3 linked regions of the Mytilus edulis genome follow. The protein of the gene in region 1 binds, or shares a complex with, the protein of each later gene. Links are inferred from orthologs where the notes say so. Each region holds a gene or a part of one and is shown on either strand. Other genes may lie near its edges.

Region 1 (7,166 bases):
ATGCGAAAAAAATATGACTGCATGACACACGTTAATTGGATAGACGTCGAGAAGATCGAAACGTTTTCAAAAACATGTGTACCTATTGAGCAACGGCAAACTCTAACAGGGACCCATTTCAGCTACTTGATGCAGGGATCTATTTTTAGAAAGAAAGGAAATTTCCAATTATAAATATTATAAAAAATAAAAATAGTTTACACGACGACTGTAAACAGATAAGGGTAAACAACGCAAATGGTTGCCAATAAAAGGGTGGAGAACTCATGGTTTTGGAATATAATGGGTTTTCCTTTGAATTAATTGGGTTATTGAACCCTGCAATGGGCAATTGCATTGGGTTTTTTATTATTTGTATTGCGTGATCACGCAAATACGCAGCTTATCTGGAGCTCTGACTGTTTCAAATTTCATTTGAATAAAATATATAAGAAACTCAGAAGGCACAGTCAAATCAATATTTCATTTACAACTTATCTAACAATATAAGCCATGTGAATCTGATTTTCTATGATGAATGTGTTCCTTGTTTGTACCTGCATTTGTTGTCTAAATGACCTATCTTCATCTTCTCTGTCATATCTTTGCACCGGTGAAGGCAATATACTGAAATGAAAATAAGTTTAAATAAAGATGTTCTTTTACTGTTAGGCCACACTTAAAAAATATTTTGGTTTGCCCAAACCCTACCTAAAGGTAAAAACAGTAGGAAGTTGGTAGGAAGGCATTTTCTTTTCTTATTTTTGGCAAAGAGAAATTGAAGTGTCAGATGTCTTTTACTCTTCATGCATATCAGAATGTTCAGTAAAAGATTTTGAGTATGCAGATATTTTCTGGGTAGGTAAGGTTAGGGCAAACAAACATTTTATTTTGTATGGCCTAATAGAAAGAAGCAACAATTGTAGGGAAAAGAGCACCCAATTATTTTTTTAAACACTTGAAAACAAATGAATTTAAACTTATATCCGTCAGGAAATCTGTTACATTCATTTTTATTTTTGTTTACATAAATAAAGCAGTTACATGTAGTTTTCTATTTGAATTGTTTTACATTTGTCATTTGAGAGCCGTTTCTAGCTAACTATGCAGTATGGGCTTTGCTCATTGTTGAAGGCTGTATGGTGACTGTAGTCAATTTCTGTGCTTTCTGTCTCTAAAGAATTGTCTTATTTGGAATCATACCACATCTTTTTTTTTTGACATAAATCATTTGAAGGCAAAATAACAGTGACTGTCATGACTGTCATACACAGTCACATGTATAACTGATTTGTGTATCAATCATAAATCTGAAATCAGTATATATACTAGGGCAATGATTCAATGACCAGCTTACAGTTGTATGCCACCTTACATTTGATAAATGGGTCAATTGAGATCAATGTGTCCCCTCACCTCCCAATGGGGGGGCTGCTGACTGACCTTAAAGGGAGTGCCTGCTGACTGACCTAAAGGGGGGCACTCCAGTCATGCTTCAGTGTTTCCCTATATAATCAACAAATTTTTTCCCATGAAAAGGGGGGCAGGCTGCCCATGCCCCAATTTTTAAATTTTTTTCTTGTATGAATCGAGGATATGCAAGGTTTTATTTGCCCTTGAAATCCCGGCAATTTTTATTGTAAAATCATGCAGTAGAAGGAAAATTGGAGGACAATAAAAACAAATATTTTGACAAATATGCAAATGGCGTAAATTGGAAAACGAAGCTGTAAATATGGATATATTTCAGCATTTCTATGGTGAAACTGACAACGAGGATTAGTTAAAAGGTTTCTTGTTATCTCAATGTGTTTATTACAATAAATTTGTGTAGGAAATATGAATTGATCGATCATTACGAGACGTAGAAAAAGGGGGGAAAACGGAGGTTGACTGAAAATTTTGAGGACGGAGCCACTGATTTGTGCCACGATTACATAATACCTTGTGTATGGTGCAATACGCTACGGAATCGAGCAATTGGTGTCTTCTTTATTATATGGCAGATAAAACAACAAAATAGATGAAGACGAAATTAGTTTTTTATTCAAAATTCAACACAAATGTAATAAATTACACCTTTTACCTGGTAATTACCTGAAAATGCAGGTAACCTGATAAAAATTTTACTGAAATAACTGCCTAACATTACAGTTCATACTCTCCTGAGCATTTTTCATACAATAACTTTCTCTGTATCTCTTATAATAAAAAAGATACAGCAGTCTGAAAAGAAATATACTGTTCTAATGAATGAACACAAGTCACAAAAAAATGCAGCAGCAGCAGCCATTTTTCTATTTCTTTGTGTAGCGTTGAAAGGGTTAATCAACTGAGCTGGGGAATCGATTCTTTGGCTCAGTGGGTTAATGGATCAAATTTCCAATATTCAAAAAACTATTCCTTTATTCTAATACACCTTATCGCCATTTGTCCGCCATTACTGGATATCACACAGGTTACCGTAAAATTTTGACGTCATAAAGCAAAATATCTGACGCCACAATGGAAAAGTGATTGTTGTTGACATCAAAAGTTCAAGCGGCCGGGTCAGCCGGGATAAGCAATAAGGTGTATTATTATTCTGAATCTGATGACATTAAATTATAAAACCCAAGGTGGGTACACGTAGCCTAGACATAAGACATAAAACTTTAATTAGAGTCGGTATAGATGCATTACAAGTACAACTGTACAAAAATAAACTCTGCAGAGCTTTTAAAACCGAAGAGCCTACGAAGACGAATAATTGGCTATGCGTCCCCCTTATGTATATGAGAAAAAAATAAAGTTATTAGCAAGTGTGGATTATATGAAATAAGCGCAATTTTGAAGGTAACAAAAAAAAAGGTTGTTAATTTTAAGAATACACATAAAATAAAGTACCGCTCATCACCCATTCAGACCCTCGTAATGTTCAAAGACCGGTTCTGTCGCGTGTTTTATTAGTTTGGAGCTGAGTAGGGCCTGAAAGTGCAGATTTTTACAAAATTTGGTTAACTTTTTATTTATTTGACATTTTGCGATAATTGTATTGACCATTATTAGATGTATATTGTAAAAACAATTTGGAACTTACTCCACAAGTTTCATCGCCATCTTGTTTGTCGATATTACGTATTTATTCCCTCCCTTTACCTTCTTTTCGAAAACAACGAAAAAGTCAGTCACTCATTCGGAATTCACTATGACTTTTCGTTCGTTGTGTGTAAATGATCATGAGGATTGAGGATTATGAAACAGACGATCTAGAACTAAGAAAGACAAGGGTATGGACACTGACGTTTATTTTGTCACTTCAAAATTTATATATCCCGAACCTGTATCATACTATAAATAGCAAGCTATTGGACCCAATTTCGAAGATATTTCAATGAGAAATTCAAGACAGTTCTTGAATCAGCTTCAGATTTGACCTTTGACTTTGTTATATTTTTATGTTCATTGATTCATTTGCATAGTGATCCATAGTCCAAATAATTATGACGTCTTGAAAGGCTATTATAATTTTTTTCTTTGACGCCTTAATTCGACAGGCTATTATAGTTTTTTTTCTTTGACGCCTTACGCTAGGGCGCTAGCCTTTCAAGGCTTCATAATTATTTGGACTGTCATTGGCATTGCATAAACAGTGGGTCTCATTGGGGTCTTAGCGTGAAGTGGGATTGCTGATTTTTTGTAAGCATGACACGTGTCAAATTATTGTGCCATGAAAACGGGAAATGAAATCTGGCGGTACATGGGAAATTCCAAAAAGTGAGAATTGCTTACGTACATAGTGTAAGCGGGATATGGGAATCTGACAAAACAGTAAGCGGGATCTGGGATCAGAATCCCCCATTGAGACCCCCTTAAAAGAGTCTTCATTTAGATGAAGAAAAAAAATCACTGTATTTTTTAACAAATAACATCAACACAATTTTAGGAATAAATGATTCAGTTTGTCAACAGATCAAAATATGAGTGAAAAAAATAGAACGACTGTATACATACATCTTATCGCTATTTATCTGCCATTAATGAATATCACACAGGTTCCCGTAAAATTTTGACGTCATAAAACAAAATATCTGACGCCACAATGGAAAAGTGATTGTTGTATGCGTCAAAAGTTCAAATGGCCGGGTCAGCCGGGATTAGTGATAAGGTGTATTGTCCTTTCACCTTGGTTTCTGTTCCCACTGAGAAGCTAGGCTCCAGGTCATTTTGAAATGAATTGCTTCGCCCTAGGTCATTTCGCACTAGACACTGCCAGAGTGGTTTTGAAAATATATTTACATACATGTATCAGATATCGACACGATTTTCGAAATAAATTAAGTGCAATTTTACCGTAAATTTACTGTTGCAATAACTATAGAATAACTAATCGAAGAATTCATATATAGAGAAAAATATTCAATGAGTGACCAATCAACACATTTTTGATTGGATGTGACTTACCTAAAAGATGCTTTTTGTATAATTTTCCATTTAAAATGGACTTTAATTTCTTGTGTTGAATAATTTATTTTATATTTTGGTTTTTTAAATACATTTCATATCCTTGACTTTTGATTAACATGTTTTAGTATGAAATCAGTTTGAAATCTGAGTTTGGACACTGAGTGACAGTTGAATCTGTTACCTAATTTGTGACAATGTGCTTTTAAACATCGAATTAATCAATAGCACTAATGACAGTTACCAGTTTCAATCATTAGATAGATATATGAAGATGTGATGTGAGTGCCAATGAGACAACTCTCAATCCAAATAACAATTTATAAAAGTAAACCATTAAAGGTCAATGTATGGCCTTCATTACAGAGCCTTGGCTCACACCGAACAACAAGCTATAAAGGGCCCCAAAATTACTAGTGTAAAACCATTCAAACAGTGAATTGCCTTGATTGTCTCAGTCTGCGTCGTTAGCCACTAGTCTGATGCCCCAGACTAGTAAATATTGATTCGGACTAGTGGAAATTTTCAAAATTTTATATAGTCATATAGGTACAAGTTTTCATATTTAGTTTCCGGACTAGTAGATGAAAAAGTTTTTGGCACAGACTGTATTAAATGTCTTGAACCATCCCATAAGTTGCAAATGACATTGTATATATAGAGATTTTTTAACTTTAGCTCATCTAAGACCTGTGCATTTGAGCAAAAAAAAAAATTATCATTTTGTTCATATGAAATATAATTATCTAATGCATCATAACAATAAGATGTGAAATGATAACTGACGAGACAACTATCCTAAACAAACCAAAAGACATAGATGTAAGCAACTATAGATCACTGTATGGCCTTCAACAATGAGCAAAACCCATAACATATAGCTATGTAGCTTAGAAAGTAGAAAAGTACTGACATAACAATGTAAAAACTATTCAAATGGGAACAGCCTAATTAAGGTACAAAACAATATTTCATTGAAAAAGAAAAAAAAAATATTAGTTTAAACATATTTATTTACATTTGGAAACAAGTTATTGCAACTTATATTAATCCCTTTCCACTTTGCAGGTGTGAGTGCAGCCTTGTAGTATGTACAATGAGTCTCTGAAATTATCTCTAGAATGGGGATTGAACCAGGAACCTTTGTGTTAGTATTCTGATGCGCTAACCACTACAACACAGCTCTCCTAAAAACTAATAACCAAATATGATAAACACCAACCAACTACAACATATACAACCACTGAATATCCACTAAAATACAATTTTGACTTGGGACTTATTTTTTTCAGATCGTGTAGAATGAGTAGACACCTCCTCAAGAAAACCTTGAAATATCTGACTGTTGGAGGACTAGGAACAGGGTCAGGCTATTTTCTGTATAAAAATGATTGGGAGGTTTCTACCATTGGAGTAGTAAGATTTGGACGTGCAGCTTTTACAGTAGGTATTTTAATCAAATATTGGTTAGAATTAAAATCACAGTTGTTTAATTAGGTCTTTCCACTTTTCTGTGGAAAGAACTATTGTATTTGTTCTGATTATTTATTTTTGTTCCAGCCAAATTTTGTTCTTGCGATAAATGTTTGTTTCGCAATATGTCGCTTAGATATTTCTCATATTGTATCGTATAGTTTATGTGCTTTTAAATTTCACCCTGCTAAACTGAACCATTTTCTTTGTAAGAGTTATCTCCCTATTCACTGTTTATCATCAGAGTGCATCTCCTTCGTAACAAAAAAAGATATTGACAAAATTTCTTTTACAAATTGTTCGTTACAGCCTCAGGAATTTTTAGCTAATTTGAATCGAAGCGATTCGATGAACTTTTATATGAGTTATCTACCTTTACGAAATAAATTTGTCGGTATGTGTTATTAACTTATAAACCATTTACCCTATAACCCTGGAAAGTTTTTATTTGAGGCCCCTACGTCCTTACTTAGAAAGGTCAAGGTCAAGTTCTCAATTGTGACTTTTCCTTGTTTTTGCATTTTCTCCAACACTTTAAAAGATATGAATAAAAGAACAAGTGCATAATGATTGCTTTATGGTAATGAAGATATGTTACATTTGGTCTGATACAATCTCATGGCATCTTATAAGAATTAGTGCCCCTGAAATGTCTAATTATAAGGTTAATTGATTATTACTTCAACTTGGTTCATTATAAAGCCAAATGACCTTTAACAAAAGGTTGGGTGACATATGACCTTGAAAATTGACAACCGGAAGTGACATTGAAAAAAACCGGAAGTAACCTTTTTTGCACTTTTTCATGAAAAATTACTCTGAATCCATATATTTTGTAATTTTGATACCTTTTCTTATCACTTAAAACTTAAACTGACTTTTGATAAGCGGGAAGTGGTCAATTATTCCTGGTTTACAAACAAAAGTATTAGAAACTATATATTTTTGGAATCAGTGTGAAAGAAGCTATCATATGAGACTGGAAGTGACATTTACTTCACCGGAAGTAGCACATTATCTCCCTTATTTCCCATCAAAGTATATAGAAAACCATTATTTATTCAATCAGTATGAAGAAACTTATGATTGGATGCCATTTTTAACTTTCAGTTAACAGGAACTACAAATGTACCGTACCTTCTTTTCAACAATTATTTCAAATTAATTTATTGTGGAAAGACCTTCAATTGTTCTCTGAACAATTGGTTTTTAATTTATATTATTTTGTATCATCAGAGCATATATTTTCATAAGCACTTAAGACTGTAAAT
Region 2 (8,107 bases), on another chromosome or scaffold:
ATATATGCTTATATCATCATCATTTGTATACATTTGTATTTAAAAAGCTTCATGCAAAAGAGTTACAATATATTTCCACATGCATCAATTTAATAAATATGATTAAAATTTAACCATTATCATGATTGTGTTCAATTATTCTTTATTCTCATCCAAAATATGAGTACAGATTACTTTAATAATTTTGACAGAATAAACAAACATTGTGTGATTTGAGTCTACAGATGCAGTGTTATAATACCCATTCCAGTTATAATTCTGTGGTTAGATTATTTTACATGTGTATTATTAGAGTGGCACACAAGTTTTAAATTACAGCAATCACCAAATCAAAGAATCAATCACAAGAGAACTTCAACAATCTATTACTCAAATGTTAAGATCAACAAAACACTGCTAACCTACATTTATAACATACCAATATTGAGGAAATTTTCTACTTTATAACAGCAGCATGTTCATTTGTATTTTGAAATTTCTACATACTGCTGTATAAATGTATGTACATGTACTGTATGTGTATTCTTCCATTGTATGATAAAAAATTGTAAATACTTAAATTTGTTCACAACTAGCCTAATTGGTGCAATTTTAAGAAAGGGGAGATAATCCTTAATATAAATACTTACTTTTCCATGTTTGACAATGTAATCAAACAATTCCCCTCCTCCCACATATTCCATCACCATGAATATGTCTGTAGGAGTACTTATCACCTGGTACCTGCCGGAAACAGGTCAAATTAGCAAACAATCCAGTGCTATTATATAATATCTACAGAATTTGTCTCAAAATGCTTTATAACTTCCAGAAATGACGGCAGATTATGTCTGCAATACATTTTATACATTGAATGTGACCAAAAATTTATTCTCACAAAATGGCCATGGTCTGATTTATAATTTGATTAAAAGCCATTTCAATTTTTAAGTGTCTTTCAAAATAATCAACATGGTTCAAGATGACCATGTTTGCTTCTGTAAGTTGAAAAAACATTTTGAGACAGTCTCCTATCTAGTGCTTTAGACTTACTTTGCCTTTCTTGACAATATAATCAAACAGTTCCCCGCCAGCCACGTACTCCATAACCATAAATATATCTGTAGGGGTACTCATCACTTGATACCTGAGGTTTTATTACGCAACAAAAATTAACCATCAAATTAAATACAACCAAAATTGGAGTCAAATCAGTATTTTTCTAATTTGACAAGAAAGTGTTTGAATAAAAAAATTTATCTACAAGTTTTAAATGAAAACTTTCCTGAATAAAATTAAGATTTAACATAAGAAGAAAGGCATGTAAAAGGATTTTAAGTCGACTTGAAAAACATAGTACACAAATACATGTATGTAAAAAAGTGTCTATTTCATATATATCATGTATATCTACATGTATAATTAACATGAATAAAATTGATACATATAAAACTTACATTTATTAACTAAATTTCTTATTATTCTCTCTGTAAATTAAAGTCTAAGACTCTATGGTCTCATAAAATACAACACAAAACAATTCAAGCGATTCCATCAAAGTAAGATTGTCTCAATGTCAAAGGCATCTAGGTAAAATTAATATTTAATTGGACTATCATATACATGTAGACAGGATAAGACAACTGATATACAAATGTCTAATTTTTAAATGGTCCCACTTTTGAAATTTTTCTCTGTATTTGCTTTAAACTAGCTAACTAAGTTGAATGATATCACCAAATATTTTGACCGAATAAATCCATGTACATGTATCAACTATCAAGTCATGTTTTTTTTATGATTGTTGCTCTTAATAGAAATTAAACAGAGATTTCAGAAATATATCTATAAATAGGTATTTGGAAGGCATCCCAAAATGGCAATAAGATTATCCCACATACCGGACTATTTCTTCCCACAAAATTTTGACATTTTACCATGATCATCATCAAAATTCAAAATACTTTACATGTACTTGGCTAAACAATTCATTACATCAACAAAGACTGGACTAAAATATTTGTTTTATATTCTAGGCAAACATGAATCAGACCAAAAATAGATATACCTTTTAATTCTAAAATATTTTTTTCTTAAATAATGTAACCAGATGACCTTGACACTTGAGCTTTGATTGATATCAAATAAGGTTGAAAAACAGAGCCAAAGTTTGGTGAAGACAGGAAAAGGAGAATCTACACTACTCACAATCATTCCAATGAAGTTACTTATAGATTGTTATTTGGATTTTTTTCAGGTATTTTGTACAGAGATGAGTTAACTGTAAGCATGGTAAGATATTCTCAATAATTAAAACAAGATGGCTGACAGGAACAGTGATCATATCTAAAAATAATATATATTTTTTTGTAACATATTTCAAAATGCAAAAAATGTACTGAAATTCAGTGAAACAATATAGATCAACAAAGCAAATAAAATGGACATTAAGTCTTTTCAAATTAAAGAACAGAGAAGTGGAGTTAGTTTGAAGAGATAAAATTGAATCAAGAGACTAACCATACACAGTAAAGGAAACATTACAATGTTGACATCAGCAATCATATAAAATTATGCTATTTCAAACAACTTTTTTCTATATCTAAGGTAAGAATGGATCACTATTAAGAATCCTGACCAACTTTAATGCTCTAAATTCTGCTTCCAGTTAAAAAAAAATCTTATTCATCTACTACATGTACATATATGTAACATATTTGGTGAAATAAACTCCACCTACTATCTTAGAAATGTGTAAATAAAATATAATATTGTCATCATAATTGATAATTACAATGTATATATATATATATATGTAAGTAGTCAAGACAATTTTGTAATTTATGGATCCAAAATGTGCAAACTTTCAAATCTTGCAACAAAATCAAATTAATATAATATCCTTTTTCAGAGAAGACAGATTTGAATCATCCAAGTCAGAGTGGATTCTATTAAGTGAATGGATTTCTATAAACATGATAAAAGAGGAAACAAGAAATATAGATAACTAAAGTACATGTATGTATCACATACATACAAAACATGTATATACACATGAACAAGAAATGGAGATAACTAAAGTATGAAACAAATGTATATACACTTAAACAAGATTTATTACATTGGTTATAGAGAAGTATAATCATTTTAATCAAGTAAAAATTGACTTTTGACATGTCACCAATAGGTGTTTTCTGGACATTGTTAAAGACTTTGCATCAAAACAAATTAAAAGGCATAGAAAAAGATATAATTGTTCTAAATATAAGAATTTGTAAACTGAATTTACATTAAAAGCCAATACAATAAAAAAGAAATAATAATCCAAGAATTCACAAATATCCTTAAACATTTAACTCTTGATGACCAATCAACACTGAATTTTGTGAATTTATGTTTTGTTCGAATTCTGATACTTTTCTAATATTTTTGACATTCAAATTCTCAGATTACCGGTATACATGTATATACATATACATGTATAAAAATTACAATGAATATATTCTAAAATTAAAAGTTAATTTAAGAATATAATATCATACAATGTTGGAGACTTACAATTTAATAATGTGTGGATGTCTAAACAGCTTGAGGTTTTGTATTTCTCTTTTGATCTTAGACACAACATCTAAACTTTTTATTTTGTTTCTGTTTAAAATCTTTACAGCCACCTTATGACTGGTGATATAATGTGTCGCAACTGAAAAGAAAACAAAGCATACTATCATGTGTGGTACAATGTATGAGGTATAAATTACAATGTCAATGAATGCGAAGCAACTGAAATCGACTCATTTTGTTACATGTACATTCATTGTTGTCAATATAATCACAATTGTATTTTTAATGTCATACAAGTGAGAGGTTTGGCTAGTTATACAACCAGATTTAATCTACCATTCATGTACATATGGAAATGGCTTTACCAAGTCCAGAATGTAACAGTTATGTTCTATTTGTTTGATGTGGTTAAGCTTTTGAATTTGCCATTAAATAAAGGACTTAGGTTCCTTTGTTTTTGAAACACTTGACACTTACAGGAATTTGTCTAAATGACTGGTTTTTTTCCAGACCAGACTAAATAGCCATAAGGTGTGTTAGATGACCAGTAAGGATTTGGCTGAGTAATGAAGTTGAAGTTAAGTGACTGTCAGACACAGCTGCAGTTAAGTCCAAACCATTATGACATCTTGAACATGTTGAAAGGCTTTTTTAAATTTGTGCTTTATCTTCAGGTAAGGGAGCTACCATTTGATTTTTAGGGGGGAGGGGGAGGAGCTAGGTCACGTAGGTGGAAAAATTCTTGTCCTGCTTTTATTTATTTATTTCTAGTTATTATAATCTCTGTCCTACATGTACCTTTTCATATTTCACATTAAGCCTTTCCTCAATGAATTTCTTTTTTGCATAATTTTTTCAATAAAAAAAAAATCATAGACTTAGTCCCCATTCACAGGTAATTCCTGCCTCATATTAGGGAAGAAGTGAGGATGCCCCAAAACGCACTAATGGCTTTCACAAATATCAACTTTTTAAAAGATGTGAAACAAACTAAGAATAACTCGTAGGTTAATTATCATTTAGACAAGGTTCCAGTTATTTTTAATAGGAATTCTGTGTATACAAATTATGTCAATGACCTTCACCTTCTGTATGCCATATTTATAACATTGGTTGACCTTTTTTTATGGCAATGTCTGTAATAAACAAAAACACATACTTTTGACCTTTCCAAATGTCCCAGTTCCTAGTGTTTCACCAAGAATGTAGTGGCCAATCTTCACCTGACCAGCAGTGGCTGGACTTTTCTCCGCCATTGCAGTTTTTGTGTGAAGCTGTTTGACTGTTTCCTCCGTCGACTGAAGTGTTTACTTGCAGATGGTGCTACTTAAGTTGTAGAGGAATTCTTATATATCTGTTCATAAGATCAACATCCAACGTTTCATTATCAGCTCGATTTAATTTCCTATCAGTCTTGTAAGGCTCGTCTTGTTGGGTCCTTTCAGTTTGTCAACAATATGTCACGTGATTTGTAAAACTTTCGGAAGTCTCTGGACTTTACGTAAACTCAGATTTCCAATGTTTATTTCCGGTTAAATAGAAAGTAAAAGTAAGACTATATTCATCTGAAAAAGGCAAATTTCAACAAAATCTTTTACATTGTAACAAACTGTTGGTTAAATTTTTTACAAAAGCTTTATTGAATTCGGTTATTGAAATAGTGGATACCACATCTCCTTATTTTCATTATTTGTTATGAGGCAGGCATTCTGTAATCTGTATAATAAATTCTGCCACTGCCAGTCAAGGCACACCTCCAATTATAGCTGGAGTGACATCCACCACCACGAATATATATATAATTATCGGTCGTCCCACTGTCAATATCACTCTGTTCAGCTCATAATATTATTCCGTATCATGTCTTTGTGACGTCAAATACGTTGACTCGGCCTTAATAACTTTGACCCGGACATATCAGCGACGTCATAATGTTTGAACCGACATTAATAACTTTGACCCGAACTTATCAAGTCATCTTTTGTGTGCTGGTGAAACAAAGAAAACACTTCCGAAACACGCAAATATAGCCCGATAAATCGATTATCAGATTATCTGCATATTTATATTGTAAAATATCAGCTGCTTGACATTATATGAAGGCTACGCTCACTCGACAAAAAGCTTCATATTATGTCTCGCAGCTGATATTTTACGATATCAACATGCAGATAACCTGATAATCGGTACATATCACACAAATAATGGTTCCATCCACTGGAATATTATATACACAAATATCAATTTATACTATACGCAATAGGCAATTTTAAAATCTAAAATTATCTAAATAAGAAGTGATAATAATTAATTTTACCTTAATCCAAATAATTATGACGTCTGGCAAGGCTAGGAAGGCGTCCCAGAAAAAAATTAAAATAGCCTTGCTAGACGTATGAAGGCGTCCCAGAAAAAAATTTAAATAGCATTGCCAGACGTCATGTAACACGAGGACGAAGTCCACTATTACAGTAGAAAATTCAATAGAAAAAAAAAAGAAAAAAAAAATCGGGAAAATTTCCCGAATTTTTCATTGTACTAATGAACTCAAAATCGTTCAATTTTTTTTTGTCGCGTTTTTTAATTTCCGGATTTGCGCAGAACACATAACTCTACTTCCTTTTTCCGGTCTTGTTGTCGTGAGACTTTGATTAGTCTAGTAAAATATAGGAACTCAATGAACACAATACCAATATTTCATTTTTAATCATTCTTTGTCTTTCAAATTGGTATGAATAAACGTTACCTGATGCATTGCATTTCTTTGTTTACATTGAACATGACGTCATAACTTAAATAACGTCACAAGTAAAATCCCTAACAACAGAACCAAAATCGGAAACGTTACGGTATTTCCGTTTCTTTTTGTAACAAATATTTAAGTTACAAAAAAATTAATTTAAACAAACTTCGTCCCCATTCACAGGTAATGCCTGCCTCATATTAATTATGACGTTAAAATAGCCTTGCCAGACATCATAATTATTTTGACTAGCATTACCTGTAAATGGGGACGAAGTCTGTATTCATGTTTTTTAAATCAAACATGTTAAAAAGAGAAACAGAAATACTGCAACGTTTCCGATTTTGGTTCTGTTGTTAGGGATTTTAGTTGTGATGTTATTTAAGTTATGATGTCATATTCAATGTAAACAAAGAAACGCTGTCATCAGATAACGTTCTTTTTTATAAAAAAACAATTTTTAGAAATGAATTAGTATTGAGTTCCTTTCTTAGACTGATAAATATACATTTTATTCAAAGTCTCATGCAAACAAGACCAGAAACGGAAGTAGATTTCTGCGCAGATCCGCAAAGGAGTAGGGGCAATAAGGCCCTTATTTGGCCCAAAATTTACTGCAAATTTAAAAGTTATCATACATATTTTTAAATTACTGAAAAGTATCTCAGGTAGAAGGAATTCAGAAAAACAAAATAGTTTTGGACATTGAACAAGTTATCATGGCAACAAGTCATGCCTTAATTTGCATATTTTGTAAAATTTTGTGATTTTCCTTGTTTTTCATCAAATTTTTAAGTATATTTTCGATTGGAAAAGTATGTGCGCACCCAAGAAACAACTTTATATTTGGTGAGATTTTGTCAATAGTAATAAAGCTTCAGTTAAATTATTTTGTTGTTTCTTGGCTGCGCACAATGTTTCCACAACAGAAATAAAGATGAAAAACTGCATAAATTCTGAATTTTCATCATTTTTGTGAAAACAGTACATATTATGACGTAATTGTGACGTCATCACATAAGAATCTTAATGTTTTTCATTTATGTTTCTTGACCCTATGCAATTCTAAAGATTATGTGCCAATTTGAAAAAGTTATCAAAAATTTTATTTTCTTGGGCCAAAACCAGGCCTTAATGCCCCTACTCCTTCAAAAACGCGACAACAAAAATTTTGAACGATTTTGAGTTCTTTGTGCAATGAAAAATTTGCGATTTTTTTTTTTTTTTTTTTTTTTTTTTAATTTTCTACTGAAATAGGGGACTATGTCCCCATATCACAGAGTTTCACTATCACTATCAGGCATGTGCTATCTGCTATAGATCTGTCAGATCAGCTTCTAGTCTACTCCAAATAATAATGACATCTTGCAATTCTATTTTATTTTTTTCTTGGACGCCTTCCTTTAAAAAGCCTTGCAAGACGTTATAATTATTTGGACTACTTTTAGTTTAAAAGTTTATGAAGTCTTGAAATGTGTTGCAACCATGTTTTGCATATTTGTTTTTTGTTCAATTTTTACATAAATTAGGCTGTTATTTTTATTGTTTGAATTATTTTACATTGTAATTTCGGGGCATTTTATAGCTGACTATGCGGTATGGGCTTTGCTCATAGTTGAAGGCCGTTAGGTGACCTGTAGTTGTTAATTTCTGTGTTGGGCTCTTGTGGAGAGTTGTCTAATTGGCAATCATACCACATCTTCTTTTTTATATTGAAAGTCTATTTTATTTTTTTGCTTTTATTGCCTCCTGCGTCATAGAAAGGAGTCAAAGCAAAAAAATATTAGCCTTCCAATTAAGACATCATAATTATTTGTACTTATC
Region 3 (7,395 bases), on another chromosome or scaffold:
GAATGTACATGATTAAAATATGTCCATGTGGAATTGCTTCATGTCTTTCGTACTTATCTTCATCTGTTTATTTCCTGATTTTGAGAATACTTGAAAAAATTTCACAAAAGAATAGTGTTTCTTCATGTCTGCATGTTATCAGGAATATTATAACAAAAGAATAAAAGAAAGTTACAACATAATTTTTTGCTGTTGGTCAAAAAACAATATATAGCTGTAGATTTCCTTTCTACTTTCACTTTGTCTTTGATTTTACACATAAAAGAGTTTATCGTCTTCCTCTTGGTGGCCCTCGTCCACGACCTCTCATTCCACCACCACCACCACCTCTACCGCCACGACCACCACGTCCTCCTCTACCTCCTCGGCCACCTGAAATAAAAATATAATTTGAGTCAAATGTGACAGCATTACAATGTTCAAAACCATATTGTAACAAGGTAGCAAATAATCAAGAGAGCCAATTGAAAAAGCATTAAGTTCACAAACCACATTGTAGATTTCACAAAATTAATTAACCTTCTATCTAATTTCAATGATCCTGTTTTGACGCTTATTGGAAAACTCTTTATATTAACCTTATAATGTATTATAACAATCCCAATTTCAATTTTTTATAATTCGATGATAACAAACGTTTTTTTTATTTACAGGTATATTTTAATAACTTTGTGGGAATTGCAAACCATATCAAAACTTTTACCACCATGACAACTGCTAGTATGATTTCTACCATACTAATAAATAATAATTGTCACTGTCTGAAAAGTGTTTCAACCTCACTGTTATTATTAATAATAGTACTAATGTATTTCATAAAAAGAAACTAGTACAAGAGTTTTTTTGTGTGTTTGTACGATTTTCAACTATTTATTTGTGACTTTCAGAGATATTAATTTGTAAGTTGCTGTCTATTGACCATTTTCCCTATTTAATGGTGAAAGTGATGGACCTAAAAAACATAAAATGTTGATTACTTACCCCTATCCCTTCCACCTCTAAATCCACCACGTCCTTTAGGTGTGTCGTCAATCAATAATGTGTCAAGTGGCAAACTGTCAGGTAAGATGTAATATCGGATATTGTTACCACGGATACTAAGTGTGTCCAGCTGTACTGGGTCTTTGTTTTTAACTGTCATCTTTACAGATTTCAAATGGGTATTCATACTGACATCAACCCCTACAAATATAATCATCTTTCAATGTTAAAATTCATTTATATAATTGTGCATTGTTTTTTTAGTCATAAAGGAATTTTATATAAGCTTTATTCGATGTGACTATTGTTCGTATTATGAATAAGACCAAATTAAATAATATGTATTTGATATTCAATAAACTAATAGTATATAAACACAAGCTCTACTGTCTCAGGTTTTAAATCCAGTGAATAACAAAATATATACATTTGTACACACATACAGTCATTAAAAGAGCACAATTTTAAACATAAGATACCATAAATGACATATAAAAGTTAAAAGCATAGTATGCAAAATGGGTTTATAACCAGTTATCTTTTTAGTGAAATCTGACAACTCAATATCCGACTAAAACATTAACCAAAATACAGTACAATTTGTAACTTGCTCTGAATAATGGTCTCCATCTGCAAAAAAAATAGGTACAGTGCTGTTGCAAAGTATCCAAGGCAGGGATTTTTTATCGAAGTTTTGCAATTAGACAATACCTGTTACTGTTCCATGGACCTGTGTTCCATTCTTTAGTTCAATAGTGACTGTCTCGTGGGACAATTTCATCAAAAATCTGTAAAACAAAATCAAAATTGTCAAGACTCATGATCATCTCACAAATTAAAGCTCTACTTTATTTTGCGAAATGTTTTACATGTTTGGCTTTTCAAATTTATATAACAGTATGTACCTGATGTCAGCTTATTTAATTCCAGTAACATTGGTCAATATATGTTGGTACCCAATACCAATTTTATGAGTATTTTCCCCAACCTGTATTATAAAAAAGTCAATGAAGTCTGCAAGGCAAATACAGAACATACGTCTTCAATTCTATTCCCAGAAACTCAAAGGATGGATGTCAGAATCATGCATAGCTAAACATGTAGACCTCCCCCGTTTTTGCTCTTGATAAAGTACATGCAATTCCCTTTGTTTTGTTTTAATAGTATTTGATTTGCCTATACCATGTTTACCAAATGTCAAAATGCCGAAATCGATGGGTCACTGTGAAAACTGTCTAATAATGAGAAAATAAAGGTTGGCAGGTAAGTGAAACTTACATAAATGAAGAGATAAATGAAAAATGAACAGATTGATGCCCGATTTATATAATTCCAAGGCCGTCAGTCAGCACCAGAAGCGACGAAGCAGCGCATCTATTTTGGGTGGGAAAATATCCACTTTTTGATATGGGACGAGCTCTGACGTCCCACGGCCCCAGCTTGTCTGGCAAAACAGCCGTTGGACGTCAGAGTAATCTCGGACTACTTGTGTTATATAAAGGTATATACGAGTGCCTGTGCTTGGAGGGCTCCGGATCAGGAAAAGGATTCAAAATCAGATACATGTATATATCTTGTACATTGAATTAACTTGTAAATTGTTTGTCAATCAAGACAAGATTGAAGCAACAAAAATGGGGGAAGAAGCGCCTCTGTCAAATATATTTTTCTCGTATCATAGCTGAAAACAGGTTTAAAAATATGCAAACATTCTAGACTGAAGAGGTGAATTTATGCATCTAATGGAAAGGGCTTCCAGTGCAGAAAATACTGCGTTCCGTCATATCAGAAACTATGTCACAGAGGGATGAATTCCATATAAATTGTTCAATATATTTGATAAAGACTTAGCGTGGGGCACTCGTCATTTTAATTGGAGTTTTCTTAATGAATGTTTGCAACAATCCACAAAATAACGATATTATTGCACCTTCCCTTCATTCATCTATATAAATTCCAATTATTGGAATTGCTATTACCTCACAAGCTTCATGATTACATGGATTTGTATACCATGTACAGGAAAAAATATTAATAATGGCGGCAACCGGCTCGTCTTGTTTACGTATGAACTAAACGCTTGACCGAGTGCCTATTTTGGTCTTGAGATAAAACATAACAACGACCTGCTGAAAGTTTTTAGCGACTGGTACTAAATGGTTTTCCCTTCCTGTTACCCTTTTGGGCAAAATATTAGCTTTTTAAAAAAGCCGACAAGATTGAATTAATTACTATCCATTTCTTGTTTCTCTTACCATTGTAAGGATTGATGTAAATATATAATAACGAACTAATCAATCATCACTCACACATTAAAGGAGTCGATTGGAGTTTATGATTTTACAATTGGCCTATTCAGAGACCAATGTGTTTGGCATAATTTAACAGCGACATATATAAGAAAGGGGACAATAAGGGGTCCGTTAACATGTTAACTACATCTCAATTTTGGCAAAAACAGTTAACAACAAAACAACAAATTCAAAAATGTTGATTAACACAGTGGGTTGAAAACAGTTAACAGTTTAAATTCATTTCAGATAACAGTTTTAAAACAACACCTTGAAAAAGGCCAAAACAGGTTTATAAATATCAAAAGGTTACATGATAACCCCCCCCCCCCCCCCTCTTGATAACATTATTTAAATTTTCAATTCATGAAACTTGGTACTTTAAATTATAGAATCAGCTGTCATAACATTCCAGACTAGTGGAGACAAATTGAACTGAACAGTTTACAAAAAATATTGTTAGCCTTGAAATACTGTCAAATAGAAAATAAAAGAATACAAAAAAATACTCCAAAAAAGAAACAGAAAAAACGGTCATTGTCTTATGTGTATTATTTTGTTTCAAATCCTGATTCTACAATTACCATAACAAAAAGATTATTTCTTCCATTGGGGACTCACTCCATTGTCTTAGATGTCTATATGGTGGTTCTCGTTCTCAGTTTAGTCTACTGGTGTCAGTAATACATAAAGAGAAGACAAGAAAAGAAAAGAGAACAAAAGAGAAGAGAACAAAAGAAAAGAAAAGAAAAGAAAAGAAAGGGAAAAAAATATGAGTCACTGCCCTAGTTTCTCAGGCTAAGTGATAACTCGCGGTACCTTAATTTTTAGGTATCAGGATTTGGGCTTGCTAGATCAAATCTCCTAAAACTCCTAAAATGATCTAAGATCATATAAATATGTGCTGTTCTTTCGTTGGTATCTTTTGTTGTTTGTGACAGAGGTGTTTTCACATCCGTGTCTGGGTGTTCAATGTGTTCAACTGTTTAATAATTTCTTTTCTTCCTGTTAGTATCAATGCATGTCTTGGTTAATTAAGTCACAAGTTTTGCAATATGTAGTGTTAGGGATTGATCTATTTGATGGCGATATTTATTTATCCTATCATAGTCCATTATTAGTTCAGAATAAGATAATGATATAATAATAGAAAAAATAAAGGATTTGGGGTATCCATCCATGACACAAAATCAGTATAGCAAATAAACAGCGCTCTTGTTGCTGTTTTCATCTCAAAGTCACACCGAGGCCTTCAACTAGAAGCATCATATACCCCTCTCACCTCACTGCGGCAAGTTTTTTTTTGTTTTATTTTCAACTTCAGATACTTTAAATTTATTTCACTAATAGTTGTTAACAGGGCTTCTTAATGTTACAACAATCGCACTAAGGTTCTTCCCGCTGTATCGTTAACTTGATGCGGCAAGTTTATAACGGTCCCTAGTACCAGTCTGAGCGGAATGATACATAGCAGACATACCCCTGGTATATTGGTACTTCTCCGGCTTAATAGCTGTTGAAATGTGAATGTTGCTTCATGTATGATGTATTCCTATACATTATATATATGTGTATTAATATGGACTGCAAGTGTATATGAACCTCTATATATACATCACATTAAACGGGGTAAACAGTGTCAACCATGTCGAATTCAAATGCTGCATGGCGTCCAGATATTTCTGAAGGCTATTATTGTCTTTTGAACTTCTTTTGCAGGACGTAAAATGGTATACTGTTGTCCGTATGTCCGTCAGTTCTTAGTCAGAATATGGGTCAATAACTCAAAACCGCTTTAAATAACCAATTTTCATGAAACTTTATATCCATTGACGTAATCTTCCATTCGATTTTAATCATTTTAGATTTTATGTTCCCAAGTAAAGGGATTTTATTCGCAAAAAAGGTGATTTTCCAGTTTTCGGACAACAACTGAAAAAAGCTTCGAACAGTTTTCATAAAACTTTGGTGACTGGTTTATATTTATCAAGAAATGCTCCCTTTATGTTTTTTTTATTTTATTATAAATTTCTTTTATGACATTGAGGAGAAATAGAACTGTATTCGTTGAAACACCGTAAGTAACAGTGGCAGATCCAGAACTTTTATAAAAGGGGGGGGGTAAGTAAATTTTATTTAGAGTCGGGCATGATATAAACAATTCAACAAGGTAAACATGAGCTCTGTAGAGCTATTTACCGACAGGCGACGTATCATCATGCGCACATGAATGGCGCAGTTCTTTATTTATTATTTGGAATTACCTGGCCTTTACATGATCTATATGATGCAACTACCTAAGGAGAGCAGTTATAGCATATAGCAGGAATAAATGGAAAACTCGACTTTTATTTAAGGTACTTCTAAAAATTCGCAGTTGCGATCTAATTAAAATATCGATATCTGATTACGTTAAACTACATATGAGAATCGTAATCAGAGATCTATATTTTACTGATTAAATTGTCGATGTTGCTTATTTTAAGAAAGAAAGTGTATTTTCAGATTGGAAGCTGACTACCCACTTCATATCTTTTCATCTTTTGACAGCAATTAACAGTCGCATTTGCTAATTAAACACGAGATTGTCAGGGACGTGGCTATATACAAAGCTTTGGAAAAGCCGAACTTTTAAATCTAGTCCCATGTGTTCATCATTACAAGAGTTCATCTGCTAAGTAATGAATTTAGCCAGCGCTCACATGATCTTTCCTTGCTAAGTAATATGCCAGGGTTGAGTTCAATATCGTAGCAGCTACGTAGCGGCTACGTATATATGTAGCTGCATGCTATCAATATATATGTAGCAGCTAGTCTATAGCTACACATTCAATAATCAAAATATACTACGTAGCAGCTACGATATTGAACGCGGCCCATGGTATTTGATTATCTATAAAATATCGTTGGATTTCAGTTGCCGGATGATGATAACATGCGTGAAATGCTCCGTGTAGTACTGTCACCAAGAGGTACCTCAATATCACGTAAACTTTAATTCTCCATGCACTGGTATGGCTTTTACATTTAGTTCTGAGAATTGCAGATACTTTAGATTGACTTTAGTATTGGTAGTTTAAAAGTCATCACAAATAAAGCCTAATAAGTTGAAATAAACTACAAACGCTATTGATAAAAAGAAAAGAAAACTAGAATTGCCATTGCAAGCAATAGCGGATGTCACCCTTCCCCTATTGCCACTAAGCGGCAACCATTTGAAAACAATTTAACAGTGAATGCAGATCAACGCATTGCGATATATCTTTCTGTAAATTTTCAGTACATTTTGAGCATTGTCAAAAGTTTCACATTTCTTCTGTTTCCATGGCAACGGCAGCCATTTTGAAAATTCCGAAGTCAAAAGTCTCATTTATACATGCCAGTTGACAATAATATTAAGTTTCATTAAGTTTGGAGCATTTTGAAAATATTTGACATTTCTGCAGTTTCCATGGCAACGGTGGCCATTTTGGAAATTCCAACTTCAAAAGTCTCATGTAGACTTGACAGTCAACAAATATAGTAAGTTTCATCAATTTTGGAGCATTTTGAAATTTTTGAAAATTTTGACATTTTGGCTGGTTTCTATGGTAACAGATACCATTCCAAATTTCTAATGGCAAATACCACATTGGTACATGGGAGGGAACATATATATACCATCAAAGTTTCAATGGATTTGACCTACCATTTTAAGAAAGTAAATGCCACTTTAAGGTTTTTGAAGCATTTTCACCATTTTTGACTTGTTTCCATGGTAACGGCAGACATTTTTGAAATTCCAACGCCAAATTGCACATCTTCCAATGTCGCTCATCGTTACTGTGGAGTTTTATTAAATTTGGAGCATTTTGATATTTTGGAAATTTTTGGTGTAGTTTCCATGGCAACATGATAGTTCCAATGATTGCCAAAATCATCTAAAACCAGTATATGCCCGACACCTACATTGTATCAAAATATATTGATTCTAAGTTAAAGCAACTCCAAATAATTCATTAAAACCAAAAACTGGAATTTCAGTTTCACAATTGTTCCGTTTCCATGGTAACGGCAGCCATTTTTATGGTCTTAAGACCTACTGCAACCTGGAATTTTGTGTTCCTCATTATAGTTAACTATC

Evidence for each region.
Region 2: SNW domain-containing protein 1-like (region 1) and armadillo repeat-containing protein 7-like share a complex: the UniProt entries of both Homo sapiens proteins name them as parts of the minor spliceosome. The link is inferred for Mytilus edulis from reciprocal best matches to the Homo sapiens genes SNW1 and ARMC7.
Region 3: SNW domain-containing protein 1-like (region 1) and probable small nuclear ribonucleoprotein Sm D1 share a complex: the UniProt entries of both Homo sapiens proteins name them as parts of the minor spliceosome. The link is inferred for Mytilus edulis from reciprocal best matches to the Homo sapiens genes SNW1 and SNRPD1.

The regions. Positions count from the first base shown.
Region 1 is NC_092346.1:18,106,547-18,113,712, forward strand, and holds the start of SNW domain-containing protein 1-like, read right to left. Parts: upstream 3,163-7,166; 5' UTR 3,079-3,162; coding exon 3,059-3,078; intron 607-3,058; coding exon 537-606; intron 1-536. Other genes in the region: aarF domain-containing protein kinase 1-like, read left to right, coding at 5,725-5,865. UniProt on the Homo sapiens protein: Involved in pre-mRNA splicing as component of the spliceosome. As a component of the minor spliceosome, involved in the splicing of U12-type introns in pre-mRNAs.
Region 2 is NC_092344.1:113,818,529-113,826,635, forward strand, and holds the start of armadillo repeat-containing protein 7-like, read left to right. Parts: upstream 1-5,011; 5' UTR 5,012-5,089; exon of another isoform or gene 5,090-5,105; intron 5,106-5,117; exon of another isoform or gene 5,118-5,151; intron 5,152-8,107. Other genes in the region: 5'-AMP-activated protein kinase catalytic subunit alpha-2-like, read right to left, coding at 1,033-1,126, 3,538-3,679, 4,700-4,796. UniProt on the Homo sapiens protein: As a component of the minor spliceosome, involved in the splicing of U12-type introns in pre-mRNAs.
Region 3 is NC_092348.1:3,033,030-3,040,424, reverse strand, and holds the start of probable small nuclear ribonucleoprotein Sm D1, read right to left. Parts: upstream 3,097-7,395; 5' UTR 2,975-3,096; coding exon 2,961-2,974; intron 1,770-2,960; coding exon 1,693-1,769; intron 1,183-1,692; coding exon 982-1,182; intron 373-981; coding exon 269-372; 3' UTR 1-268. UniProt on the Homo sapiens protein: Plays a role in pre-mRNA splicing as a core component of the spliceosomal U1, U2, U4 and U5 small nuclear ribonucleoproteins (snRNPs), the building blocks of the spliceosome.